2 linked regions of the Ovis aries genome follow. The protein of the gene in region 1 binds, or shares a complex with, the protein of each later gene. Links are inferred from orthologs where the notes say so. Each region holds a gene or a part of one and is shown in the gene's direction. Other genes may lie near its edges.

The links.
Region 2: the proteins of ESR1 (region 1) and SMYD2 are in contact, whole or in part, in a crystal structure (PDB 4O6F), measured with the Homo sapiens proteins. The link is inferred for Ovis aries from reciprocal best matches to the Homo sapiens genes ESR1 and SMYD2. Residues at the interface, in NP_000116.2 of Homo sapiens: Gly262, Arg263, Met264, Leu265, Lys266, His267, Lys268, Arg269, Gln270, Arg271; in NP_064582.2 of Homo sapiens: Leu148, Val179, Asn180, Cys181, Asn182, Gly183, Phe184, Thr185, Glu187, Leu191, Ser192, His193, Ser196, Ala203, Ile214, Val215, Ser239, Tyr240, Ile241, Asp242, Tyr245, Arg253, Tyr258, Ile302, Arg306, His341, Tyr344, Leu379, Asn380.

The regions. Positions count from the first base shown.
Region 1 is NC_056061.1:76,880,098-76,894,959, forward strand, and holds the end of ESR1 (estrogen receptor), read left to right. Parts: intron 1-780; exon of another isoform or gene 781-885; intron 886-2,213; coding exon 2,214-2,397; intron 2,398-7,077; coding exon 7,078-7,312; 3' UTR 7,313-11,678; downstream 11,679-14,862.
Region 2 is NC_056065.1:68,714,996-68,729,857, reverse strand, and holds part of SMYD2 (N-lysine methyltransferase SMYD2), read left to right. Parts: intron 1-5,432; coding exon 5,433-5,543; intron 5,544-8,166; coding exon 8,167-8,227; intron 8,228-8,944; coding exon 8,945-9,069; intron 9,070-14,566; coding exon 14,567-14,634; intron 14,635-14,862. UniProt on the Homo sapiens protein: Protein-lysine N-methyltransferase that methylates both histones and non-histone proteins, including p53/TP53 and RB1. Specifically trimethylates histone H3 'Lys-4' (H3K4me3) in vivo. The activity requires interaction with HSP90alpha.

The DNA.
Region 1 (14,862 bases):
GCAGGGCCGTGGGGCTCAGCAGGGGCTGTCCCGGGCCCCCCAACCCACTGGTGTACACCCCCCTGGCCACCCGTTACCTCCGGGTCCACCCCAAGGCACTGGACATGTGCCCTTTTTTCTAATGGGCACAACCTTTCTCTATCAGAAACCCACAGGGAACATAAGTAACCCAGCAATTTCTTTCTCGTCCCACTGCCTGTCCACTGCTTGCTTATCCTGGGCTCTGTTTCCTTTGGACAAGAACACCTCCGGTTACCAAAAGCTACGTTATTCTATTCTACAGCCTGTAAGCCAGGAGCCTGGCCGTTCTGGTTTTGTTGTTGCTGTATTTGTTTTGAACATTAGCCGTTTCCCATTCTGGGCAGTTACAACTGTGTTTACTATGAGTTCCTCTGTGTGGGAGTTTTCCCCATTTTCATCCTACAGGCTGCGGCGTGAGCAATAACTCATCACTGCGCCACTGGCACAGAGTCGGGGATTCATAAACTGGGGGGCCTTTAACTTGAAAATACCCAGTGCGGATGAGGGGAGGGGAGAAGGAGAAATATATTTATGGGAGGGCCAGTGGGCTAATAAGACCAAAAATAATGTTGCTAAATAGATGTATATCTGGAGGTAAATACCGTGTCATCTGCTCCCTTCAAGGGGATGTGCTTTGAGCAGGACAAGTTGGCTTCTGCAGGCTCACTCGATAGAACATCCATCGCTGCAGTCTCGAGACAAGACTGCTCCATCCTGCCTTCCTTTTGCTTTCAATACTTCTCACCTCTTATCACTCACCTTCCTTGTCTCCTGAACGTCCAACTTTAAGAGTCCGGATTCTTTCAGTTGCAAGTCACAGAAATCCAACTCACACTATCTTAAGCAAACAGGAAATTTATGGATCTGTGTGTTAAAAAGGATATGATGGAAGCTTTAAGGTCCGATGAAAGAAGTAGGGACGAGGACTTTACAAGGGCAACCACGATTTCTCCCCTCCCCCTCCATCACCTCTGCGGGTTGTTACTTGGCTCCACTCAGCAGGGGGAGCTCCTTCTCCTGGGAAGGTGGCACTTACAAGCCCCATATCCTCATCCTCCAAGCACCTCCACCCTAGAGGAAGGAATTTCCATCGACAGCTTCGTATTTGTTGTTGTTGTTGTTGTGCTCACTTGTGTCCAACTCTTGGCAACCCTGTGGACTGTAGCCCACCAGGTTCCTCAGTCCATGGAATTCTCCAGGCAAGACCACTGGAGTGGGTTGCCATGCCCTTCTCCAGGGGATCTTCCCCACCTAGGGATCAAACCTCCGTCTCCGACATTGCAAGCGGATTCTTTACCATCTTAACCACCAGGGAAGCCCAAGGAAGCCATATACAAGCCCTGAAAAAGCTCTGATTTTCTAGTACGAGGCTAATACTATCCAAAGGAACCGAGTGACCAGATTGTCTAATTTTAGTCTGAAGACTATCTGTGGCTCTAAGAGCAGGGGTTTATGACCAGAAGAAAGGCAAGAGGGCACATAAATCCACACTTGGCAATGAAAACAGTGCTCCCCAGGGTCCCTTCGCCTTTCCTATCATAAACCTTTCAGCTGAGCCTGAAAAGTACGAAGGCCCCAAACCTGACCTGAAATGTAGCAGCAGATTAAGTCCTACCTGCATCACTTAATAAATCCCTTTTTCTCACTCTGTGCATCTCACCTAGGGTGTCACGTGTCTTCTGAGAGTTACCATTATAAGACTGGATGTGGAGTCGGCACATTGGGGTTATTCTCAATTCTGCTCTGTCCCGTCGAGTTCACTCCACAAGTTAATACAGTTTCTTTGCACTTTTGTTTCTTCGTGTGAAATGGAGGGATAATGCTGCCTTCCTGGAGCTGTCATCAGCGTTAACAGGATAGTTAGCATTGGCGAAAGTCCTGTCAGAGAAGAGATGGCTGGTACAACCGTCACGGCCCCAAGGCAAGCAGAGCCTTTCTAGGAAATCTTGATGACAAACCCTGGAAACTGGCTCACACACAGGAGGTGACATGAGTTTCCTAGACACATGCTCTCAGACATGTATATTCATGAGGATATTTGCATAGTTGCCTGGACCAAATAGATCCTCAGCTTCTCAGTGGTTGGGCTTGGAGGGTGGGGGCTTCAGAGGGGCACTGTCTCGGTATCACCCCACACACATCCTGGACCTTATCCTCTTTGAGTTTCTCTCTCTCTTCCTCTGCACATTCAGGGGTGTACACATTTCTGTCCAGCACTCTGAGGTCTCTGGAAGAGAAGGACCACATCCACCGCGTCCTGGACAAGATCACAGACACCTTGATCCATCTGATGGCCAAAGCAGGCCTGACTCTGCAGCAGCAGCACCGGCGTCTGGCCCAGTTCCTCCTCCTCCTCTCTCACTTCAGGCACATGAGGTGAGGCCTCCTTGGGTTTCTCTCATAGCAAAGATGTAAGGGAATCCAGCCAACCCTGTGTGGCAGCGGGCCCGGGAAGGGCTGATGCCTGCGTACAGATAACACACTTGGGGCAGTTCTGGGCCCATGATGAGCATGAACACCGTGGGAGGATGGTGGAGGGAGGCCCTGAATTTGTCCGGGGTGTGGGCGGGCGTCAGAGAAGGCTTCACAGAGGAAGCGCTAACTCACGCTCGGTTTGGAGCCCATGCAGCATCTTACATGGGGCAGAGTGTGCGGTGAGCAGGTCAGGGGAGGGGGAATCCTCTTTGGTTATTCACTTTGTCCCAGCCAGTCACGGGCAGTCTGTGAGCACACTCGTCCTCAGAGGGCACTGGGCACATCTGTTGCAGCTCCCGTGTCACACTCTTACTTATGGGTGTAAATTCGAATGAGACACTCTGGGTCCAAACCCCTCATGGACGGTCAGCCTCGACTCTTCTAGCCCTCTCAAACCATTCTTGTCATCCCCTTTGCCATGATCCAAGTCCGAGCCTCCATCATTTCCTCCAGGATGTCTGTCCCAGCTGCCTAACCTATCTCTCCAGATTTAATTTCAGAGCCATTAACAGCCTTTCTCATCTATTCTCCACAGTAGAGCCAGTGTGATCATTTTGATACCAAATCTGATCACACTGTTTTCCTACTTAAAGCCTTCAAATGGCTTCCCCTTGCTTTTAGATGAAAATATAAATCCATTTACTTTGCTTCCATTACTTTTTATCCTCTGCTGCTGCTGCTGCTACTCTTAGATGTTAAGTCGTCTCCGACTCTTTGCAACTCCAGGGACTGTAGCCCACCAGCCTCCTCTGTCCATGGGATTTCCCAGGCAAGAATACTGGAGTGGGTTGCCACTTCCTTCTCCAGGGGATCTTCCTGGCCCAGGGATGAAACCTAAGACTCCTTCTTGGCAGGCAGATTCTTTACCACTGAGCCGCCTGTAGCCTTACTTAACTTGTAGGACTTCCTGGGAGTCTAGGCTCTGGCCCTGATCAGCTGTTCTCTGAGTCAACGGGGAGGTGCTGCAGGCTGCAGGTTGGCTGCACAGCTCTTTTACTTCCTTGGACTCACACATCTGAAGGTCAGGTGATGGAAGCTGGGCACAGCTGGAGGCTCTGCGCCAAGCTGCAGGCCTGAAGGTCAGCTGGGTGACTAACCCGAGTACCTTTTGTCCTCCTTGTACCAACAGGAGAGCTGGGACATGTTCTCATATTGATGGCAGAGGCACCAGAGGGCGAGTCAGTTTGGTGAAGCGCATTTTAATCTTTTAGTTCAGTCCATGTGCATGAACATCCCACTGGGCAAGCAAGTCATACAATAACACCCAAAGTCAAGGATCATGGACACAGGGCAGAGAGTGACTCTTCCTGGACAGTAAGCTAGCCTGTCATAGCTTAGATACGACTCCTTGCAGGAAGCATCTCCTGACCCTTAACACGTAGATGGGATTTACACCCTGTTCTTCCAGATTGTTATTGCCCATTATATTATCTGTCAGCACCATTAGACTACAAATGTAAACTCTGTGAGGCAGTTCTCACAACCCGTTTTGTTTACTCTGTGGACCCAGTACCCCGAAGCATGGGGCTTGGCACAGAGTAACTATTCAATAAATATTTTCTATAGGAGATAAGAAAGGTTGATAGCAGAGGAAATAGAGCCTTTATGCACCAGAAGGCGAAAAGGGCCTTGTTTCTATTCTAAATGCTTGGCCAGGGACTTAGTGGGTACTGTTCCCATGAGCAGAACTTATCCTTCAGGGAACAGATGGAGAAAGTATTAGATTCTTTACTCCAGAAAGACCACACCTGCATGATGAAGTCCCTATGACCTTAGGCTTACTTCAGGCCTCCAGGAATGAAAAAGAGATTCTGTTTCTCAGTGGCTCTGAGGGAAGGGCCAAGGTGTCTGGAAAGAGATTAATTTTTTAAGGGGTCTTTAAACCTTGAAAAACTGTGAGTCAGGTGGCGAGAAGTTCATCCCATCAGAGTCCCAGGTGGCCCCTTTTCTGGAGCTAACTCCACAAGTCGTTAGCTTCTTGAGAAAATAAATGTGTCTTTCTTTCGTTGTAACCCACTCAGTGCCCTGTATGAAGTGTTGGATGCGGTATATGAGCATCACTTCATTACTGAGTGAAGGAGCTGTCACTCATGAAGGAACAGACAAATTACGTGAGGTTTTCCCTGTGAATCTGAAATTCAAAACTGACGGCTCTCACTTGTCAAAGTGAGTGCAGTCTGTGTTCCCAGGAGTCCCCGAGAATCCGGCCAGGTTAAGTAGATCATTGCATTTGGAGTATACATTTTCAGTCCTTTCCCGTCCATTTCTTTTGATGAATATTACACAGAGGGAAGAGGGGGATGGATCAGAATAACATAAGCCTCTACCAACTTTCCTGACTGAGAGAGTAGCCTTCCCCTTGAAGAAAATATATTAGCTTTATTCTGAGCTAGGAATTTGATGGAGAAACCGTGTATCACAGATGAAGGATTTTTTTTGTTGGTGGTGGTGGTTGTTGGAATTGCTGAATTTTCAGATCCATTAACTGCTTGTCAGCATTAGGAAGCCTCGTTAGTTAATACCAAAGTATATTTGCACTGAATATACAAGCCTTGCTACTTTTACTGGCAACAGGTGGCCAAGGGCAATGGCAATGGGAGTTTCTGTTTGAATTGTGTGAAGGGCTAAAGAGGAGTTGCTGTTCTGTTGCAAGCTTTGAGCTGGCTTGCAGACTCCCTCCCTCCCTCTTTCTCTCTCTCTCTCACCAACACTGACAACAATATTGTGGTGCCTCATTACAGCCAATCTAAATTACAGAACTCTGTTGTGTTAAGCTTGGCCCCGACCATATGCTGTCATGCAGAGCATTTAACACCAGATTTCATCTCACGGTAAATGTGATTCATGGGGTTGCAAGAGAAAGACGGTGTCAGATCCAGGGGCATTTAACTTTAACAGCATTTTAAATTAAAACAAACTCAAAAAAAAAAAAAACCCCACAAAATCCCACTTTAAAACGTAATTTTGGTGGCTGTTATATGGCTCGAATTGCTCTGAAGCCTGATTGTTTTCATGGCATGCCTCCAACAAGGGTTGACTTTCCCCTGACTGAAAATGCAAGTAATTTTTAGGAGGCTCTTGGCCTGCCTCCTTATGATACACGATTCTTTTAAAAGGAATTTCAAGGTAGATAATAGTGTTTGGGTTTGTTTGTTTGTTTGTTTGTTTTTTCTCCTGCTGGTGATGTGGTGGAGGAGACAGGCAGAAGTGTGGCTGGTGGAGCAGGACAGTAGGGGAGAGTGGTCAAAGGAGAAAGGCCATTTGCCTGCATTTCCCTGTGTAGCCCATATTTTCTGAGGGTTAACCATGTTCTTGCCACTGTGCTAGGCCTAACGGGGTGGACAAATTGCTACCCCTCGTGGAGTTTGTACTGTGTGTGTTAGGTCTGTGTGTGTCTGTGCTTGTGTGTATGTGCTTGTGCTTAGGGAGCAAGAGTAAAAATACAGGGACTTCCCTGGTGGTCCAGTGGTTAAGAATCTGCCCTGCAGTGCAGGGGACAGGGGTTCAAATCCTGGTCGGGAACTAAGATCCCTCATGCCGCGAAGCTACTGAGCCCTGTGCCACAACTAGAGAGTCTGCACACCAGAACCAAAGATCCTGCATGCCGCAACTAATACCCAAGGCAGACAAGCACAGGTGCTTTAAAAAGAGTAAAAATACACATGTGCATAAATACGTACATAGAAGGATTTCAGGTTGACATGCATGCTGGGAGGAAAAGGAATGACGTTGAAAGAGGCTGGCTAAAGCCACGGGGCCTTGAGCCCTCTGCCCTTGGGGTCGTGGCAGGTCTCTCAGAACCGGTGACACCCGGAGATCTGAGAGAAGTGCCTCCAGGCAGGAGCGGGGAAGAACCAGTGCAGGTACCCTGAGTCTAGGCATAAAGAACTTGGTGTTTTTAAGGGGCAGCATGAAAACTCAGCTGGCTCAAGGTATGGGTTAGGGAAGAGGGACAAAGTCTGAGAGGTGGGTGGAAGGCATGTCAGTCGGGCCTTGCATAGCACAGACAGAAATTTAGATTTTATTCTGAGTTAAATGAGAAGCAGCTGGACAGTTGTGAGCAAGGGAACTTCTTGAACTGTTCTGCATATTTGAAAAGTTCCTTCCTGGACCTTCTTAGTGTTTAAGACTCCATGGTTCCAATGCAGGGGGCCTGGGTTTAATTTCTGGTCGGGGTACTAAGATCCCACATGCCAAGCGATGTGCCCCCCCACTCCACCCCCATAAAAAAACCTCTTTCGTACTTGGTGGCTGGGCAACCCACTCCAGTGTTCTTGCCTGAGAAATCCCATGGACAGAGAGAGGAGCCTGGCAAGCTACAGTCCATGGGGTCGCAAAGAATCAGACACGACTTAGTGACTAGATGAAAACAACAAACACAACTGTTCTCTTTTTAGATGTAGCAGTGATAGAAGAAAGAAAGTCACCTGTATAGTAAACCCTGAACTGGCTCTTGAAGCAGGAGGAAAGTTTGGCATATCAGTGTCCTGGGGCTTTTCTTAGTTGCCCTTCCTCAGCGTCTCAGCCATCCTGGGTCTGAGGCTGGTCTGAGTGGTCCTGTCTGTGTCTCCCCTCCTGCAGCAACAAAGGCATGGAGCACCTATACAGCATGAAGTGCAAGAACGTGGTGCCTCTCTACGACCTGCTGCTGGAGATGCTGGATGCCCACCGCCTGCACGCCCCAGCCAACTTCGGGAGCACACCCCCGGAAGACGTGAATCAGAGCCAGCTGGCCACCACTGGCTGCACTTCATCGCATTCCTTGCAAACATATTACATCACTGGGGAGGCAGAGAATTTCCCCAGCACAGTCTGAGAGTTCCCCGGCTCCCGGCCCCCACCCCCCACCGCCAAGGTTCTGAGAATCCCTGTTGCACTTTACCCACATCATGCATCACTCTAGCCGAATTCTGCCCCTGCACACACTCTTGGCATGCACCCACCACTGGCTTTCTGGTATGGATGGCCATTCATTCGCTCGCTCGGTTCTATGTGGCACGCCTTGTTTTGGGAACAGCCAAAGGGATTCCAGGGCTCATTTCTTTGTAACCGTTCTCTCTCTCTCTGCCTTTGCTACCTTACTCACCACGAGGATTCACCTAGCGCTTCATGACTGAGCTCGGTCTCCGAGCTGGGTTCAGGTGACTGTGCACTTTAGCTACTTGTGACCCAGGCCTGGAGAGTGGACATGTCACCTCCATGAACATGAAGCACTTGTTAACGGATCTGAGCATCAGCCACAGGAAAGAACTGGAAGTGGCTCCTTTAATTGCTGACTTGGAGAAAGCGAGGCCTAGGGTTCATTATAATGTCCTCTTGTATTCCTATAGGTCCATATCATTTTATTAAAGCTTTTTCTCTGTTGCATGGCTGTAGCAGAATATTCAGTGATTGTCCACCCACTTCCCCTATAGGAATACAAGATGCACACAGGGAAGGAAGGCCCCTAACTGTCAAGACTTTGTCAGCTTAGTACACTGCCCCTTCAAATTTGCTAAACGCTTTACCATTGAGAGCACTAAATATATATAGGTCGTGGGTTCCAATTAATTCTCGCTTCCCATGGATCCATGGAAAGCAGCAAAGTTGATCCCAGTTAAGTAACCTCCACATCCACCAGTTTAGATAGATACTTGTCTTTTGTTTTCATTTTCATTTTATAAAACCAAGCCTCACCTCCCCCTTCTCCCCCCGCCCCTCACCCCAGGACTTGCAGTAAATGGGCTTCAGGACCTGTTCTAGTGTGATCTCACTCCTACCAGCAGAGGGCGCTCTACATGACTCTTCCTGGTGTGTCACTTACAAGGTGAATTCCTAGTGCCTAGGCTGTGAAAATCCTTCTTGGAAAATCCCATGGACTGAGGAGCCCGTTAGGCTACAGTCCATGGGGTCGCAAAGAGTCAGACACCACTGAGCGACCTCACTTTCACTTTCAGGCTGTGACCAAGGGCAAAGGAGCAGGCACTCTGGTGACACTTTTAGCCCCGGGACTGTGGGCTTAATAGTAAACGTGCATGATTCTTGTAGGGGCTAGAGACCAAAGAGGGGCAGAAACTGGATAAAACTGTGAGGCTCAGGATGGCCCTGCCACAGGCTGCAGCCACTTTGGAGTGCTACGGGCTGACCCCACAGTGTAGTATGAGGCTGCCCTGGGGTCCATGGAGGGCTGTCCTCCTCCTCCTCTTCCCTTTTGTGCTCCCAGTGACCCTGGTTGGAGGCAAGTGCTCCTTGGGGGAGGAGAGCCAGCGTTGGAGCTTTCTGAACTCAGCCTGCCTGGGGCCTGGTCAGACCACACCTGCCCTTGGTTATTTAGAGCTCATGCAAAAATCAGGGTTTAGCCTCGAGGGGGGAGGAAAAAAACCAAAACTTCTCCATACTCTGTTTCATTAAACTTCCTAAGCCAAGAGAAAAAGACTAGAATTGGGCCATAGGAATCCATTGGACCTATAGATTAAACAAGAAAAGCTCACTAAACAAGAAGCAGCTTCCCTGGGTCTTTGCGTCTCTAAAGCAGTTATGAATTAGTTCCCCTTCTCAGCTATAAAGAAAGTTTGGTTTCCTCTGGTGACCACACTGTCTGTAACTCGAACCCTGTTGATAGGCAATGTGTTAGGCAACAAGCCCAGTCAAGGTTCTAGGGCTTCTCTTGGGATGCCTGTTTCAGAAGTGGATTTCACTCATCTGATTACCCAGTAAGTGACCACCAAAGGGCTGGGAACCTGGGAAGTCCAAAAAAATAAAAAGTTTTTTCACAAGTGCATCTAAATTTGGGGGCGATTTTATGTATCTGCAGTAAGAATGTTTAGAACATAATTCTTATGTTGTTTTTGTTTAAGAAGCACCTTATATAGTATAATATATATATTTTTGAAATTGCAATGCTTGTTTATCAGACAACTGAATGTAGTGATTCTGTTTTGGATTTAATTTGACTGGGTTAACATTCAAAGCCAACAAAAAATATGTTTACTTTTTTGGTATCACTACCTTGTCATGTAGTCATTGATGCCTAAGGCCTGGTGATTATTCATTTAAATGATGATCACATTTTCATATCAACTTTTATATCCACAGTAGATGAAATAGCACTAATCCAGATGCCTATTGTTGGATATTGAATGATAGACAATCATATGTAGCAGAGATTATGCCTGAAAAGGAAAATTATTCAGGGCAGCTAATTTTGCTTTACCAAAATATAAGTAGTAATATTTTTGGACAGTAGCTAACGGGTCAGTGGGTTCTTTTTAATGTTTATACTTAGATTTTCTTTTAAAAAAATAAAAACAAACAAAAAAATTCTAGGATTCTAGATGATGTAATACCAGCTAAATCCAAACAATAATCCAGCAGAGGGTTTTACATTTTTCACATAAGATGTTTGTACTCATGTAAAGACACTATTACATTTGAAATGGGCAGAGAGCACCAGATGGTTGGTATGTTAGCCCAGGAGTTTCAAGTAATTTTAGAAATCTCTTATTCTTAAATGAAGTGCCACTGATGGAGAGCTGATACTTTGCAGCTGATGTTACTCGGATGTAGGGATATGCTGTATTCTTCCCCCCTACTCTGATACAGTTTAAAGTTTGAAAGACAAGGTCAATCAGAGAGGGAGTGGATGGGTTAGTAGAATAGAGTGGGGAAATGGGTTTGGGCATTTTAAGAATGAAAAATATCGTGATAAGAGTCTTGAAAACATTTTGAGGCAGATCAGCACTGGCACTTGGGGTGTGCACCAGGGTTCAGTATTTCACTTGTGTCCCGTTCACCACAAATAGCTGTATATGACAGCTGATCCTATAATGGCAGCTCGAGTTCTGGGGCAGAACTAGAGGCATGTGCAGTACAGTCCAAGAAATAGCTAGTGGTCTGTGTTTCTTTTAGCCATCGCCTAGCTCCAGGCTTGCAGTAATGATTCTGTAATGCTGTCACGGAACAATCATAGAGGTTAGTTCATCCAAAGAGAAGACCCTACGTAGGTTGCAAAACCCAGCCCCTGAGGAAGTGTAGTCATTGATTCAATTTCCCTATTAACCTTGCAACTATATTTAACCATGCCATAGCCCGTGCCTTTTGAGGGCTGAACAAATAAGAGGCTAACTGATAATCCAACTTCTGCTCCCATTTAGATGTTCTTGCTTTAAAATCTTTATACGCTGAAATGGCTGTTGGTTTAGGCCACTGGTTTAGACTATCCCTACATGAAACCAATCCCAAATCTCTTCCTAGTCATACTCCCCACCTCTGAGATGGACTGTGGGTACTGGGAGTGATCACTAGGACTATAGTTAACGTTTGATATTCACAGGCAGATTTGCTTCTGGAAACTAGTTATTAGAAACACATGTAGAGTCATATGTAGCTTCTGAGACAGCCGTGATTCTCTTGGGTTCAAGTCTTGGGATGATGACCCAGATGACGCTGCACACTTCCTGGGTGAACTTCCTGAAAACTTACTGTCAACTGGAGCAAATGACTTCAAGTGCCGTCCCACATATCCACCTTTTCATAGTGTTAGTCTCTGTTTTTAATTGCAGTTCCTTTCCATTTGGATTAACGTGAATGTGGCCTCCTTCTAAGTCACTGAAAATTGTTTTCTAAGTAACTGCTGCCTCTATTATGGCACTTCAAGTTTGCACTGTCTTTCAGAGATTCAAGAAAAATTTCTATTTTTTTTTTCTGCATCCAAATGTGCCTGAACTTTTAAAATGTGTAAATGCTGCCATGTTTCAAACCCATCTTCAGTGTGTTTTTACAGAGCTGTGTACCCTGGAAACCACATACAGCCCCATGAACAGGTGCCTGAGGCACGGACCCCTTTGCATTCACAGAGAGGTCATTGGTCATAGAGACTTGAATTAATAAGTGACATTATGCCAGTTTATGTTCTCTCACGGTTTATAAACAGCGCTTTTTGTGCACTATGTATTCTTCAGTGTAGAGCTCTTGTTTTTACGGGGAAAAGCTCAAATGCCAAATTGTGTTTGATGGATTAATACGCCAATGCATACTATTATTGATGTGATTCTGTTTTGTTGCAGCTTTGCTTTGTTTAATGAAACACACTTGTAAACCTCTTTTGCACCTTACAAAAAACAAAAAAGAATCCAGTGGGATGCTCAAGCACCTTAAACAATTTTCTCTACCTATTTGATGTTCAAATAAAGAATTAAATGAAAGCCTTTTGTTTGTTTTTGTGTCAGCCCCCTGCTTAGCGCTGGCTGCCCAAGATCAGAGTGGTGACATGCATCGTCAGAGCATAGTAAATTCAGGTGATCAGTCTAATGCCAGGCTCCCCTCCAACCCCCACTGACCTCCCGCCCCAGGCACAGAAGGGAATGTGTGGTCCTTGGAGTCAGGCAGACCTGGCCACACTTCTCGGCTCCAGCACATACAAGTTTTATGACCATTGGTCATGAATTTTCAGAGCCTCTGCTTCCTCATCAGCAAGGTGATAACAGTAACACCTAATTCACAGACAATTGTGAAGATTATATGAGATGCTCATGAAAATAGTAGTTCTTTTCTTTTTTTTTTCGACTATGTTGACACATGTAAACCCATGGCTGACTCATGTCAATGTATGGCAAAACCCACTACAATATTGTAAAGTAATTAGCCTCCAATTAAAATAAATATATTAATTTTTAAAACTAGTAGTTATTTTCTAATGTTTAATCCCAACCCCTTCCTTGTGGGGAAGTAGAAAGCTTCAGAGTAGTTATGAGGGGATTCCCAAGTGGTGCTAGTGGTAAAGAACTTGCCTGCCACAGGTTTGATCCCTGGGTAGGGAAGATTCCCTGGAGGAGGAGATGGCAGCCCATTCCAGTGTTCTTGCCTGGAGAATCCCATGGACAGAGGAGCCTCGTGGGTTACAATCCATGGGGCTACAGAGTTGGACGTGATTGAGCACTGCGTGAATGCATCTGAAACTTACATAATCGTTCAGAAACCTTACCCCATCATGCACCCAAAGCAGAAAGGACTGGTTCACCCCAACCCCATCCCACCTCTGGTTTCCATTTCAGGACTCTTTTCCCTTTGAAGAGCCACCTGCATGTCCTCTTTGCCCCATTGTTTCTGTGATTTAACTGGTGAACTGGGGAGAGGGGGATAATGGGACTGAGAGGCAACATAATATGCCCACGGGGTCTGCAGCTGGATTAGCCCATTTGAAACCTCATTATACTATTTATGATGCAAACTTGGGTAAGGTACTTTCCCCGTGCCTCAGCTTCTTCACCTGTAAAGATGGACAATAGTACCTCTTGCCTGGAAGTGTTGCTGAGAAGACTACATGGGTTAATTCACAGAGAACACTAAAGGATAGCAGCTGGCATTGCTTCTTCCCCCTTTCCCGAATCTTCTCCAACTGCGTGTCTGCGCTCACCTCTTTATTAGGATGAGTTTAATTTTTCACATTGTTTCTCATTTGGATTCCAAAAAGCTTGTGTTCTGTCATCCCTGGGCAAGTTCTTCAATCCTGATTTTCATTGGCTTCCTTATATCTAAAATATAAATAAGAACAATACCCATTCTACAGGGCTATTCAGTTCAGTTGCTCAGTTGTGTCCAACTCTTTGCGATCCATGGACTGCAGCACACCAGGCTTCTCTGTCCATCACCAACTCCCAGAGCTTGCTCAAACTCGTCCATCAAGCTGGTGATGCCATCCAACCATCTCATCTTCTGTCATCCCCTTCCCCTCCTACCTTCACTCTTTCTCAGCATCAGGGTCTTTTCTAATGAGTCAGTTCTTCGCATCAGGTGGCTGAGGTATTGGAGCTTCGGCTTCAACATCAGTCCTTGCAGTGAATCTTCAGGACAGTGCTGTTTTGAAGATCAAAAGAGATAAATGTCTCAAGTGTGGGTATAGGACCTACCCATAGTAAGCTCTCAATGCATGTTAGGCACAATTAGGCAACTGTTATCATGCTCTGTGAGCACTGACATTTAGTGGGATCACTGATAGGTTTAGATTTACAGTTACCACTTTGTTATTTTGAATATGTCTCCTGTCTTTTTCATTGCTCTGTTCCTCCTTACTGGCTCTTCCTTTGTTTTGGTGAAATAAATACCTTTAGGGTATCATTGATATTTATCTGTTGATTTTTTTTTTTTTTACTATTCTAAAGTTATTTTCTTAGTGGTTGCTTTTATAGCATGCATCGTAACTTTTCACAATCTATTTTAGATTAATACTAACTTAAATTTGGTAAAATAAAAATCTTTGTTCCACCATACTGTAGCTCCATTCTCTCCCTTCTTCATATTATTATTGTCATATTGTCTAGATGTCATAAACCCAGTAATGTTATATTTATTGGCTTGTACAACTGTATATCTTTTAAAGAAGCTAAGACAAAAATGAGAAAATGTATATATTTATAGGCTTTCTAATATTAATCCAAGGGCTTCCTGTGTAGCTCAGTTGGTAAAGCATCTGTCTGCAGTGTGGGAGACCTGGGTTCAATTTCTGGGTCGGGAAGTTCCCCTGGAGAAGGAAATAGCAACCCACTCAGTATTCTTGCCTGGAGAATCCCATGGATAGAGGAGCCTGGTGGGCTACAGCTCATGGGATTGCAAGAGTCACACACGACTTAGCGCTTTTTAAAATATTAATCCACATATTCACCATTTTCAACGTTCTTCATTTCTTCCCGCAGATTTGAGTCACATGTCTGGTATCATTTTTTCTCAGCCTGAAGGAATTATTAAGAGTATTTCTTCTAGGGCAAGTCTACTAGTAATGAATTCTCTGTTTGTCTGGTACTGTATTTATTTCACCTTCATATTTGAAAGATGATTTTTCTGAATGTAGAATTCCTGGTCACCAGTTTTGTTTTCAGTATGTTGACTATATCATTCCACTGCCTCCTGGCCTCCATTGCTTATTCTGTATCTGATGAGTAGAAAGAAAAATTCCTGTGGAATTTTAAGGCAAGTGTGACTCCTAGAAATACGGCACTTCGGGCAGGATGCTTCATGTCCTGTCCTTCGAGTTCTGGGGAGACATGACCTCCTCTCTGACTAATGGGTGGCCCTTGATTAGGACAGTGTGACAATCATTTCTTCTGCCCATGCCTCCGGAACTCAGTGCGAGTGTTCCTGGTCTCTGAGGTCATCCAGGCACCCTTCCTGCCCCTGGTTGGAATAGTGGGTGAGCTGAAGAGGGATGTTCCTCTGTCCCTTGGCACCAGGAAAGGCTCTATCTAGCAGATGACCCGAGATGTTGAAGTCGGAGGCAGTGGTGCCCTCACTGGCAGCAAGCCCTGTTTCAGGGTGACAGTACCTGGGCCAGGCTCACCCCCTTCTCTTGCCCCCAGAGCAGCTCCTAGCTCATGGCCTGGGAATGGGACCACG
Region 2 (14,862 bases), on another chromosome or scaffold:
TCTTTTATGGAAAGAGAAAACAAAGCAGATAGGGGCCAGCAGTGGCTGTCATCCCGGTGTCATCCCGGTGTGAGGTAGTCGCTAAGCCCCTGATTCCTTTTGCATTCTTCCTCTCACAGAGAATAGTGGTGAAGAACAGTAGTCCTGTGACATTTTCTTACTATTCCACATTTTATGAAATCACTTATGCATGCTACTCTGCTTTTCAGGAAATCACACAGGCATGTATATAAATAAGTTCAGTTCAGTCGCTCAGTCATGTCCGACTCTTTGCAACCCCATGAACCGTAGCACGCCAGGCCTGCCTGTCCATCACCAACTCCCAGAGTCTACCCAAACCCATGTCCATTGAGTCGGTGATGCCATCCAACCATCTTATCCTCTGTTGTCCCCTTCTCCTCCTGCCCTCAATCTTTCCCAGCATCAGGGTCTTTTCAAAAGAGTCAGCTCTTCGCATCAGGTGGCCAAAATGTTGGAGTTTCAGCTTCAACATCAGTCCTTCCAATGAACACCCAGGACTGATCTACTTTAGGATGGACTGGTTGGATCTCCTTGCAGTTCAAGGGACCCTCAAGAGTCTTCTCCAACACCACAGTTCAAAAGCACCAATTCTTCGGCGCTCAGCTTTCTTTGTAGTCCAACTGTCACATCCATACATGACCACTGGAAAAACTGTAGCCTTGACTAGACAGACCTTTGTTGACAAAGTAATGTCTCTGCTTTTTAATATGCTGTCTAGGTTGCTCATAACTTTCCTTCCAAGGAGTAAGTGTCTTTAATTTCATGGCTGCAGTCACCATCTGCAGTGGTTTTGGAGCCAAGAAAAATAAAGTCAGCCACTGTTTCCACTGTTTCCCCATCTATTTCCCATGAAGTGATGGGACCAGAGGCCATGATCTTCGTTTTCTGAATGTTGAGCTTTAAGCCAACTTTTTCACTCTCCTCTTTCACTTTCATCAAGAGGCTCTTTAGTTCTTCACTTTCTGCCATAAGGGTGGTGTCATCTGCATATCTGAGATTATTGATATTTCTCCTGGCAATCTTGATTCCAGGTTATGCTTCCTCCAACCCAGCATTTCTCATGTACTCTGCATATAAGTTAAATAAGCAGGGTGACAATATACGGCCTTGATGTACTCCTTTTCCTATTTGGAACCAGTCTGTTGTTCCGTGTCCAGTTCTGACTGTTGCTTCCTGACCTGCATACAGGTTTCTCAAGAGGCAAGTCAGGTGGTCTGGTATTCCCGTCTCTTTCAGAATTTTCCAGTTTATTGTGATCCACACAGTCAAAGACTTTGGCATAGTCAAGAAAGCAGAAATAGATGTTTTTCTGGAACTCTCTTGCTTTTTCGATGATCCAGCGGATGTTGGCAATTTGATCTCTGGTTCCTCTGCCTTTTCTAAAACCAGCTTGAACATCTGAAAGTTCACGGTTCACATATTGCTGAAGCCTGTCTTGGAGAATTTTGAGTATTACTTTACTAGCGTGTGAGATGAGAGCAATTGTGTGGTAGTTTGAGCATTCTTTAGCATTGCCTTTCTTTGGGATTGGAATGAAAACTGACCTTTTCCAGTCCTGTGGCCACTGCTGAGTTTTCCAAATTTGCTGACATATTGAGTGCAACACTTTCACAGCATCATCTTTCAGGATTTGAAATAGCTCCCCTGAAATTATGGTCTAAATTGAAAGCCCCTTTAGAACAAGAGTAACACCAAATGCAGGAGTTAGAAAAGGGGATTTCACAATAAAAATCCAGTCTCCTTATACAGGGAGACAATATATCATTTGCTCAGCAGAAAACTGGCTGACATAACAATCACTCTTTTCTTCCAGCGTTGGAAGTGCTGGTGTACCATGAGACAATTTTTCAACTCTTTATGCATCTTTAAGCATTTCGGTCCACACACGCACAAAAAGGAAAGTCATGCAGAGCTGTGGTTACAGTGGCTGAAAATGAACTAGAAGTTTAAAAGGGTGTCAAAAAAATTCCCTCTCATACTTTTTACATAGATTTAATTGTTTAAATTTATTGCATGAATCATCTGTGCTCATTATAGAAAAATCAGAAGTTTCAGACTGAAAGAGGAACAGAAAGAGTATCCATACTTCATAATTTTATCCTTCCAGAGAAAACCGCTAGTAACACTTTGGCATGTGTCTTTCTGAATCTTCCCTATGCATTTGTTTATAATATATTACTTTCCTAGAAAATGGGATCCATCTGAATTTTCATAAAGTTTTATAAAGATTGCAACCATTAAAAGAGTAACAGCTTAAATTTTGAAGGAAAACTGGAAGCCAAGTAGTGCCACTTTGGTATGTCTCTGACATTTCCACCATCTGACAGAAAAGGAAAACTTCTTACTAGCTGACAAATTTCCCCTGATGAAACTTAGCATAATGCTGCCGGTCCTTGAATTTACCCAGCTCTCTGATTTCACTGCTCTGTGTGGGTCTTCATTACATTCTAGGTGCTCTTGCTTTTCTTTGTGTTCGGATACAGTCATAAACGACTTGAAGTCAAAGACTCCATCTCCCATCCCTGCCTCTGGGGTCATCAAGGGCTTATTGAATGAATGAAGGAACCAGGACATGAACAATTACCAGCATTTGTTGAGAGCACGTTGTGTGCCAGGCACTGGTCTGAGTGCTTCTTGTGGGTTAGCTTGTTTATTGGATCCTCACAACGACCCTTTGTGGTTGCATGAATGCCTGATAATGGTAGGCTTCAAGCTTTGTGTCTGATTATCACTGTTGGAAGGCATACAATCGTAGACTCGGAATTCCAGACCTGCTAAGTAACTTAGGGATCATGTTATTTACAGCCGAGGATACACAGGCAGAGGGATTAAGAGGACTGTCTGGTGTGACATAGCTGCTTCGCTGGAGGGTGGGGTGAGAATGCAGGTCTCCCCGAGCCCCAGGCCAGTCTCCTCTTGCTAAATAGAGCTCTGCTCTCCCCCACAGCGTGCGCTGTAGTGAGGTTCTCTTCCCTGGAGGACATTAACATCAATAGATGTCAGCATTGTGTGTTCGTATTTATTTATTTATATTCGTATTAATTAAATTGTATTAAAAACACATAAGTCATATTAAGAAATGTTAAACTTTTTTCTCACCGAAGCTCGTTGTTAAACGCCAAAGACACCATGTATACTTCAGGAAACTAGCATGTTTAAGGCCATGCAAACACCTTTTCTTAGCACAGCTAGGGTCACAGTGAAATTCCTGTGTGTGTTCATAGGCGTCAGTTGCCCGTCTGTCCCCCACTAGCGTTCTTCACTTCCTTCGGATGCCCCAGGGCCAGAAGCCCTTGTTGTCTTTCCCTTTTTGCTTTGCATTTGTGTGCGGAGTCGGTTTGTCTGCTGGGAGCTGAACCTACCTGTTCCTACCTCGTTGCTTCATCACCGAGCTCTCGTTTTAGGCTTTGGCTAAAAACAGATCCTCTTCTCCCTTGTGTATATCTTGTCATTTCTGTCTCTTCTTGCTCTTGGTTATATTCGGCATGCTGTTATTTAACTCTGCAGAACACCTTGGCAAGTGCTTGAGCCCAGGGTCTGTGCCACGGGGGCTGCATTAAATCATTAAGTGACAGTGTGTCTTTCCTTCTTGGCCGTGGGGAGGGAGACATCGTCATTCATTCAACAACTTTATTGAGTGCTTAGTGACTGTCAGGCACAGTTCTAGGTTCTGGGCAGATGAATAGTGGGGGCAGGGGGGAAAACGTAGTAAACCAAACATCTAATCAGTGTGTAATAAATATGTCAGGTAGACACATAAAGCAAGGAAAAGGGAGAGTGGTGGGGGGAGAGCACTGGTTTGGGGAGGGTACCTTGAAAAGGGGCATCAGAGCAGAGACATGGAGGAGGGAGGGAGCCAACAGGACGTCTGGGGAAGAGGTATCTCTCCAGGAAATGCAGCAAGTGCCAAAGCTCTCAAGGCAGGAGCAAGCGTGGTCGCTCCAGGGAGCAGCGAAGAGACATGGTGGCCGGGTGGAGTGAGGTAGGGGAGCGTGGTGGGGGTGATGAGCTCAGAGTAGCAGAGAGTCAGCTCCTACCACGTGTGGCCTCGTGAGTCATCATTACAGCCTGGCCTTTTGCTCCGAGGGGAGAAGCCATTAAAGCATGCTGAGCCGTGAATGCAGGATCTGAGTTGTGTTTTTCAGAATCGATTACTCCGGTTGCTCTCTGGAGCGGAGCTAGGGGTGGGGTGGGGGGTGGAGGGGGCAGAAGCAGGTGTCCAGGTAGGAGGCAGAGGGAGCCGTCACGGCGTAGGTGTAGGGTCTGCCACCCAGTGAGGAAGGTGCGGGTGGGAAATGATCAGAGGCTGAGTGTATTCTGCAGGCAGACAGGATGGATTCACTGGAAAGGTGAACATGGAGTGTGGGGGAGAGAGAGGCGGCCAGGAAGTCTCCAGGTTTCTGGCCTGAGCATTGGAAAAGTCAGACTTGCCCCTTTCTGAGGCAGGAGAGGCAGAGGGAAGCCCACAATGGTACCCAGTTCCGTTGCAGCAAGGAGTGTCTGCAGACTTCCACTGAGTCCGCTCCCACGGCCAAGCCCATCGCACCACCACAGCTGGTTTTTATCAGAGCCTGAGTGGCTCAGCCAGTTCCCAGCCATCCCCCGCTGACCCTGTTACCAGCACCAGCATCGTCCTTTACGCCCCGGTCCTCAGTGCATTCCTCCCCAGCACCCCACCCTCCTCCTTCCCCAGTCTTCCCGTCGCGAAAGGGGCATCTCCACCCTTCGAGGAGTGAGCACATGCCCTTCACCCCGCAGCCTGGGGCAAAAAGCATTGAGACCGGTGTTAGAAAGGCGTCCAGTTTTCCTCTTTTATCCAGTGACTTTTCAGGGAGTCTGTGTCCTAAATATTCCCGAGAGTTGCCCTGGCCAGACTTTTCACGGGTCCTTGATCAAGCCCTCGTCTCTGGTAGGATTTTATCACCCATAGAAGAGGATGAGGTGCTGTGGATGTCACTTCTCAGTTATTTGCCCTCATGTGAGAACAGAACCAGACCAGAACCGTAGGGAGCAGAGCCAGACCAACAGCTGATACCCAAGTCACTCACCCCGTGACTGGCATGACAGCGTCCACAGATAATGCAAAGGTGTGCGTGGTGTTCGGAATAGTGAGGGGCGTGAGATGCTTGAGGAAACCACACAAAGCAGATTTTCTCTTGCCAGCAAGCTCAGCCAGGCCTGAGTCAAGGTCATACAGCCACGTCTATCTTAAAGGATGTTTTCGTCTCTAACTTTTGTGAGCACCGTCGTGTTTTCCAAAAGGAAACATATTTCACTTGACCTCAACTAGGAGAACTTGCTGCATCCTCTTGTTTCGAACTTTATTGCCGTGTCTGTGTGTGTGTGTGTGTGTGTGTGTGTGCGTGCATGCACATGTGTGTGTGTGATATATTTTTTTTTAACTTTCCCAGAGAGAAGATTGGCCCATGCACAAGCTGGAATGTTCTCCCATGGTTGTTTTTGGGGAAAATTGGAATCCCTCCGAGACTGTAAGGTTGACAGCAAGGATTCTGGCCAAACAGGTGAGGAATTGGGAACAGGTTCAAGTGTGTTTTATTTTTTTACTCTGAGGTCAGAAAGATGAGTGAGTGACCCGTGGTGATCATCTCTCGCTCAGCATTCTGGGACCGCATTTCCCGTCACGTTCCTATGGACAGAGATGAGTGCAAGGCTCCAGGAGTGAGCTGGCTTGTCTGCCTTGTGCACCTAGGATGTCACTCATCCCCGGCCGGGAACATAGCCGCTGCTAAGTTCTGAGCTTTTATATGAGACAGGTTTGCATAGAAAAATACGGCCTCTCAGGGCATGAAAACCTGAGTGACAGTAATGAGAGCGTCCTAGGGAACCAGACTGGCCTTCAAAGCTTTGGGAGGTCCCCTCTTTCCTTCTCTTACAGCATGCACCCCTGCTGCCACCTCCCCTCACCCCCCGTCCTGGGCTGGCTCCTGCTCTTCCCTGTCTCCATACTTGTCCTGCCTCGGCGGGCAGGGAATGGGGTGAGATAACCAGCATGGCACCTGCTGGGAGAGAAACAAGAGGAGTGGAAAAGTAAAAATCAAGGCCGGGGAGGTGGGGTGGGAACGATGTGGCCATCAACAGTTTCCTCCAAAGATGAAGCCAGGGCTGGCTGTCCTGACCCCTTTTTGGCTCAGTCCCGTACTGATTGCATGATAATAAGACACCTGATCTTGACAGGACCAGCTTAAATGGAGGGGAGGAAAATGCCACAAGATGTGTCCTTGTGACGGTGAAATGGGCTGCACGGAGCTTGAAAGGCGAATGTCCACAGAGCTGCTTGCCAGTGATAAGCTGCGGGCAGGGCCTCTGTACTGGAAATCTTAAAGCTGAAATTTCATCTGCCCCTTCTGTCTTCCCTTACCACACCTCCCTCCATTTAAAAACTTTTGTTTTCTTTTTTTTTTGATCGAAACCAAACGTGATCATAATGGTCGACTCAAATCTGTCCCCAGACCAAGTTAGGCTCCTCGACCTCGTAAACAGAAGTAGAACATTTTGAACCTCTGAGGTCATAGTTTCGTTATGTTCAGCCTGGGTCAGGTGCTTGATGAAATGCCACTTCGCCCGCTCAGGGTAACCAGAGGCACTCAAGGCTGGCCTTTAGAGTGGGAACGAAAAGTCAGAATTGTTTTCGCTGGAGGAGGTTAACTTTTGGTTCCTTGCTCACAGTTGTCTTTAAATACAGGCCAAGTACTTGGTCGGAAGAAAAGGGTAGGAGAAAATGGTGTGACTGGGTGAGTGTATGTGGGTGTGCGTTAGTTGCTCAGTCGTGTCCGACTCTTTGCGACCACATGGACTGTAGTCCCACCAGGCTCCTCTGTCCCTGGGATTCTCCAGGCAAGAGTACTGGAGTGGGTTGCCGTTTCCTTCTTGAAGGGATCTTCCTGACTCAGGAATCGAACCTGGGTCTCACGCATTGCAGGCAGATTCTTTACCGTCTGAGCCACCAAGGTGTCAGGGTAAATAAGCCATCAGATTCAATCCGTAAGCACCTTGCCAGGATTGAGTGACCAGTCTCCTGGTTCTCCCCAGGCCCCATCTCCTGACATTATTGAAAGTGTGGTGGTTAAGAATTCAGAAGGAGCTGGTGCCCTTTTCTGAATGAAAAGTTTTCCCAGGCAAAATGACTTACTAATCTTATAGAAATGGATCCTATGAATGGGAAGATTTCCACTCCAAAAAAGAACTATTGAAATGTTTTGGCCCCAGGAGGGTAGTCTGAAAGCTATGATGAGTTTATACCAGTTTCATTCAACTGTTATTATAATTACTGCTACCACTAATAGTCTATTAAATGAAAAGTTACCTGGCCATCTTTTTATCTCTGTAGGACTTAATGATTAAAAAAACAGACCATTTGTATTCTAGTCACTTGCAAAGGTTTCAGGAGGGGGACAGGCTACCCAACTACCGAGGGGAAGCGTAACATGTTAACTAGGGAGGTGAGCACGCCTGGGTGGACCACCTGTATCCTCAAGCTGAATAGCCCGATTACAAAGACACGGCCTTGGGCCGGCTCTTGAGCTCTGCGTTTGAACTCTTGTCAACACCAAGTTTATTCATGTTCTCAAAGCCTGGCGGATTTACTATTGTCAGCTCCTCTTGGGGTGTCTAGAACAAAGCCGGCAACACGTTTCAAGTGAATCTCGGCTCACGGATACAACCGAAAGTGTTCTTTTTGAAACGCAGGAATTTGAGATCATTTTAGCCTATGCTTAAAGAAAGTGTAAAATGGATGGGGGGGTGTTGATTTTGTTCCTTTTTAGAAGGAGAGATAATAAATGGGATGGCTCATCTGTAGACTCGGTCCTTTTAAGTCGGGGCCCTAAAAAGTTGTTTTCTAGCCACTGTTCTTTCCCATAACAAGCATTTTTGAGCCTACTGTGTGCATAGCATTATCAGGGTGTTAGGAACGCAGCCGATGCTTTTAAAAGCTTTTCAAAAGAGTCCTTTGGGTTTGGACGTTGGGCAAATGCTCTCAGAGCCCAAATGGCAGAATCCTTGGCTTCCTCTTTACTTCATTTAGAACCGTTGCTTTTTTCTTCATGTTGATGTAAGCGTGAAAGCACTGTTTTTTGCACAAGTTGTTGCCGTCTGTAACTGTGTGATTTCTTCCCCAATTACTAGAAAATCCACCCAGAGAGAACACCTTCAGAGAAATTGTTAGCCGTGAAGGAGTTTGAGTCACGTAAGTCTGTCTGTGACTGGCTGAGGAATTATTTCAGCCACATGTTTTCTGTGGATTAGACAGGATTGAAAGAAGGAAGGGATAGCTGGGTTCTTTGTGGTGGTGGGGATTTTATAGTTATCAGTTTTTATTTTGACTTGTGTGCTGTTTTGGAAAATGGACTATAACTTCCCCCCGCCCCCTCAGTTGACAGGATTGCTAGGAAATAATTAAGGGGAAGTGCGAACTTGCAGGATAAATTATTACATCCTGAGCTATCTCTTGCTGGCTCTCCTGGCATGTTGAATATTTTTTGGATCTTTGCTGAATTGCAGTCCTGTACACAGCTGATGTCCTTACTGGAGGCATTAAATCAGGGGCTGTCCACTTTCTCCATCATGATACAGACTCTGGGGCCAATTGGGGGACCCTTGACTAGACCAAGGCTGGTTATCAGTCACTGCCACTATTCCTGACCTCACTGTTAATGGTCAGTTGAAATTCCCTGTCCTGAGTGACTTCCATTTGTCAGAGGAAGAGAAGGAAGAAATGGCATGCTCTTTTTGCCCTAGGGCTTATTAGTTAGACCAAGGGAGGAGGGATAATATTTCCTGGGGGCTCCACGTGTTTTTTTTTTTTTTTTTTTCTTTCTCTCTATGCCGTTGATAGTACTGAAAGGATGTATAGCTAGAGATCCAGAGTTTTCTACGTGCTGAATAATGGTTTGTTTATCCACAGATCTGGATAAATTAGACAATGAGAAGAGGGATTTGATTCAGAGTGACATTGCTGCTCTCCATCACTTTTACTCCAAGCACCTTGAGTTCCCCGACAACGATAGCCTAGTAGTGCTCTTTGCCCAGGTAAGCACGCGAGTGTCAGGCGACACTTAGTTTAGCCTTTCCCTGCCAGTGTCCCTCTCCCAGCACATAGCTGGTGAAGATGAATGAAAGCAGAATGATGCCTACCTGATACAGTTCTTGACATCTTGGTCCATGTTTTGCCTAAACTGACCTTGAGCAGATCAGGGTCCTGTCTGTGCTGGCCCTCACCGATGGTGGAGCGTAGGAAATCCACCCTCCCTGTGCCTCTTGCTGCAGAAAGAGTTTATGCAAACAGAGTTGCCAGGGTCCCAGAACTGTGGGAGACTGCAACACCTTTGGATGGAAAGACCATTTGAGATTCCTACATTCAATTTTACTCTTCTCTTAAACCTTCCCGTCTGACAGTAGTGGATTGTAGGTTTTTGTTTTTCTTTATTCTTTCTTTTTTTACTCTTACCAACACTGTGTTGATAAAGCAGAGGCAAATACAGATGGCCAGGAAGGACAGACATCACAGAGAGGAGCCTGAGTGGGTCTAGGTACAGTAGGTCTTTCCCGATGATTGCTAAGTAATCCTGTGTAGACTAGAAGCCTAGATTTACCAAAATCAGATAGGATTAAAAAAAAAAAAATTAGACTTCTAGACAAGAGCCACTTAAATGCATCAAGGAACTGACGACCAACCTTTTGGAAAGGCTGAGGCTTGGCTGGACTTGGCCAGGACAGGAGAAGACAATGTGGTCAGCACCCTGGGCTGGACGCGTGTGGCCGCATCCTTCCTCCTGTTTCTGTGAGGGTGGCTCTTCCTGGCCTGACTCACCAGATCAGATTTCTCTCCCTAACATACGCTTGTGTTTTCCCCTACAAGCCGAATGTGTAGTTGAAGGTGACCTTCGCAGAGGGAGAAACACTGGAATACTGTTTTGTGGGCGCAAGTCGCTACACTCCCCTGCCTTCAGTGTCTAGACAGGAGAAAAAGCTCGGGTGGGTACTTACACACTGTCGTCTTAGAAGAGAGTCAGCATCACCTCGGTACTCTTTGAGTCACTAATTCCATTTTTAGGACTCTATCCTAAGAAGTAGTCAGAAATTATGGACAAAAATTGACATGCAAATTGTTTGCTGTGTGGTTCTTTTTAAAAAACATGAAACCAAAAAGAAAGGGGAAAAAGGCAAAGGAAATACATGTTATAAATGGTCAGCAGTAGTCATTAGGTAAATCATGGCTTAGATTGTCAATTAAAGTTTATATAGCCTTTATAAATTATATTTCAAAGAGCAAAGATATGTGAAACGCTGATGACATAACGTCAAGTGTAAAAGCCGGGGAAAAATATGTAATATGAAAATTTACTTTGGTTAAAAAAAAAGCTTAAATGGAAGTTCACCATTAGTTATCTCATGAGTCGTGGAAACTTTTTACTTTTTTGGGGGTGATTTTTCTGGATTTTCTACAGTGAGTATTGTAACTTAAGAAAATAGTGAAAAGAAGAGAAGATGAAAAGCACCCATAGTTCTCCCACTTTAAAAATTGCTCCTATAAGGAAAGAGGTGAGTCTTCACCACTTCACTGACCTACTTCATCCCCCAGTGAGAACTAGTGAGAACAGTTTGATGAGTTCCTTAATAGACTTTATGTTTATGTGGGGTTTTTTTTGTTATATGACTGTCATAATCAGAAAAAAATGCTGTTCTCAGTAAAAGAGAAAATGGGTTCAAGTCATGGGTGTTAAATTAGACATAATGAAAAACCTTCCTGATTTCATTATATTATCCTGGGATTACAGCGTATTTCCCTACCCATGCTAAGGCAATGGATTTGGGTAACAGTACACAGTGGAGGAATTGACTTCTCCTATTACATTTTTAGAAAAACTTGGATATATGACTTTTCTGGATTAGATGAGGCATGGTTTTGTGAGAAAGAAAGAGTGATGAAGTAAACATAAGGTATCTTTTCACTTCCAGCAACAGAGTGGTGCATGCTGATGGGCCTTCTCAGTGTTGACATTGTAGATATGGGACCATACTTACCAAAAATCAAGGCAGTTGATGTCACAAATCAGTTCAGTTCAGTCGCTCAGTTGTGTCCGACTCTTTGCGATCCCATGGACTGCGGCATGCCGAGCTTCCCTGTCCATCACCAACTCCCGGAACTTGCTCAAACTATGTCCATCGAGTCAGTGATGCCATCCAACCATCTCGTCCTCTGTCGTCCTCTTCTCCTCCCGCCTTCAATCTTTTCCAGCATCAGGGTCTTTTCAAATGAGTCAGTTCTTCGCATCAGGTATCCAAAGTAATGGAGTTTCAGCTTCAGCATCAGACCTTCCAATGAATATTCAGGACAGATTTCCTTTAGTATGGACTGGCTGGATCTCCTTGCAGTCCAAGGGACTCTCAAGAATCTTCTCCAACACCACAGTTCCAAAGCATCAGTTCTTCAGTGCTCAGCCTTCTTTACAGTCCAACTCTCACATCCATACATGACCACTGGAAAAACCATAGTTTTGACTAGATGGACCTTTGTTGTCAAAAATAGAACTGTTAAATTTGTGCTGAAAGTCACTCAGAGTCCTTGAAATTTGGACTGACTTAGAGTATTCAGGGGATAGATACAGACACACGCACACACATATGTAAATATAGGTAAGTAGTTTTTTCAAAGGCTTTATATTAATCAATATAATTAATGGAGATATCATTCCCTGGAGAAGGGAAAGACTACCCGCCCCAGTATTCTGACCTGGAGAATTCCATGGACTATACAGTCCATGGGGTCGCAAAGAGTCAGCGACGACTGAGTGACTTTGACTTTCATATTAATCAAATCATAATATCCACTCTGAGACGGTGCACATACACACCGATGTACATACACACGCACCTTCATGCCTTTTCTCACATACAAATTTGAAAGGGGACATTCGGTATCCCCAAAGAAAACTCTGAAGCGCAGGTGGAAAGCGCTGTCCCAGCCCCAGCCCCTCTGGCCCTGCTGCTCAGCGCCCTCCCCCTGCCCCCCGCATGTCCTCCCCTCTGGCCTTGGAGCCCTTTCCTGTCTGGTTCGTGGGAGGCTGTTGTGGGTTAACTCGTGGCCCAGCAGCAGCTGGCAGCAGAAGGTGACTGCGCTCCTTCGACAGCACCGAGGCGCATTTTAATCACCAGGAGCATATGCATGGTTGGGAAATGTTTTTTTGGTGTGCAGCCTACATCTAGTCTAAATGCTAATTATGAGAATAGCTTCAGCAAGGCACTTACGCCTGATTTGACTCGGAAAAAAAAAAAAAAAAGACGATGGCCTATGCATCTTTCTTAACAGGCAAGTTCACTTTTCTTCCCTAGGGATCTTTCAGAAGGGAGGGAAGGCTCGCAAGCAAATTGCTAGGCGATTAGGCTTGAACCTCACCGCCAGCTCCCCGATGACACCTGCGTTCACAGGAGTCTTTCTTTGTGGTGGAAACGCACTCTCCCTCACAGTAAGAGGACAGGGAAAGGGAATAAAGGGGCCCGTGGGCGTGAACATCAAGCCGGAAGGAATTTGGAATTACAAACGGTCCTTACAGAGGAAGAGATTACAAAGCAAAGGCGCATGTCTGGGGCCCTCACCCTTCAGAGCTAGTCAGGAGCTGTCAGTCCAGAGATCCATTGTGAAAATTGCTACATTCTTACACGCCTTCTTCCACTTTGCAAAATTTGTTGTTGTCCTATGGGAACCAGACACGGCCGAGGCATGTTAGTATCCCAATCCGAGACTGCGTATAGATCCCTCAGTACCTGGTCAGGTGCAGGACGCATAGTTCAGGCCTCAGTAAATTTAGCTGAATGAATGAAAATCCTGATTTACTCTTAACCCGATGTTGGTTGGTGGTCCCTGGTGAATGATGGTTGGTGAATGTCCTGATGACAGAAGAGGTTAGAGTACCTGAGGCCCACACAAAACACAGTATGCTGTGTTTTCTACATAAAAATGCCTGACACCTCAGGATTCCAAAGACTGTATATTGTTTTACTCACTGCAGTCATCTCTTTTTGCGTTGAAAATCGTAAATACTGGTTGTAAATGTATCGAATGGTTAAAGCTGTAAGTCAAACCCATCGGATTCTTTACTTCTCTATGTACCAAGATTTCCAAGCCTTTGACACAGGCCCTTTGCTTTTAAGTAAAATTACAACCAGAAGAATCAGAGATCAGAACAATTTTAGAAGAAGCATGGTATGGTGAAAAGACACACTTGTGTTTCTGACAGCCTCACTATTAGAATGCCTAGTTTGACTTTTGACTCCTTTTCTGCCACTTGCTACTTATATGGCCTTGCATTACTTAATCATTGACCTCCCTGGGCCTCAATTTCCCCATCTGTAAAATGGGATAGTATTGTAGATTTGAGGGAGGGTCAATGTGCAGCACCCAGCCCAGTGGGTAGTCTGGACTAAGCGCTCAGCAAAGTAGTGTTTCACAAAGCTCATCCCTTGGCCTGAAACACAGCCGTGCTGTGTGTCTGATGGGGAAGAGCCTGACTGCAGCTCACGGGGTGGAATTGTTCAGCATGCATGCTTCACAGACAGCCTCTTAGCAGCACGGGAAGAGGTGGGCTCTCAACCTTTGCTGCTGGCTTTGGTCGAGTCACTGCCCTTCTCTGACCTTAGTTTCATCATCTGAGAAGTAAAGGGACAGAGTTCCCTTCCAGCTGTGAAGTTGTAGGTACAAATGAAAAACCCTCACTGAGCTGTCTCCCAGTGGCCTGGGTGTTCCTGGAGGGTGCAGATTTGGCCTGGTCTTCCTTCTCTGCAGAGCGCCCAGCATATAAGGTTTCCTCGGTGAATGTGCAAAGAGTGAGTTTATGGAACAGCCTAAAGTTGGAGATGTATAGTCTTCATCTTCAGCCCACCAGCTCTAAGCTTGACTTCTGGGATGCTGAGAGCTGCCCTTGGTGATTTTCAGGGTAATACTTCCTGCCACAGATGAGTAGGTGGCCAGTGGTTGATGTGTCTGAGGCAGGAAGGGACATTCGCAGCGCCCTAGCTTCAGGGTCTTGGTCTCCCTGCCTCTCAAGGGGATGGACAGCAGTTAGATTAGCTGTGTAAAGCCTGTCAGATGTACCACCTCACCTTATGAGCGAGGTACCAGATCAAGTGGCTTCTTTTTTTAGCAGAAGAAGACTGAGCACAGAAGGGACACAGTGACGGGCTTGAGATCCCACTCCAGACCTGGGGCAGAACTGGGGTTAGAGTGACATGTCCGGGCTCCCATGCAGCTCTGCAGACTTGAGTCCTTGGAGCCTTAGTGGTGCTTTGTGACCTTCCGCCACCACGGGCAGGTGGGCTGGACTAGATGCTTCAGACTTGACAGTTCAGCTTGTATCTGTTTACACGTGAGACCGCTCGGTAAGTAGTGTCTGAACGTAGGATACCTTGTTCAAAAGAGGTGTTCCGATCACTAAACCAAACGTCTTCCCAGCTAAAGAGGTGATTTCTATCCAGAAAGAAGCTTTAGCTCATTTTTCCCCCTTTCTCTCTCTCCCCTTTCTCACCGCAGGTTAACTGTAATGGCTTCACAATCGAAGATGAAGAACTTTCTCATTTGGGATCAGCAATATTTCCTGAGTAGGCTGAGTGTGACTTCATCTCTTTCCTTATTACTTATTTAACACTGATTTTTTTTTTAAAATTTCCAATAACCTCCCTAGCTGCATGTGGCAGACATGAAACTCTGAGTGAATTAAATCCCCTTTTTAATTCTGCCAGATTTCAAAATATTTCCCCTGCATTTAAGGATCTGAAGGTAGTAGTTAAGAGAACAGTTGCTTGTTAAGTCCTGCTAGGTAGAGAGCT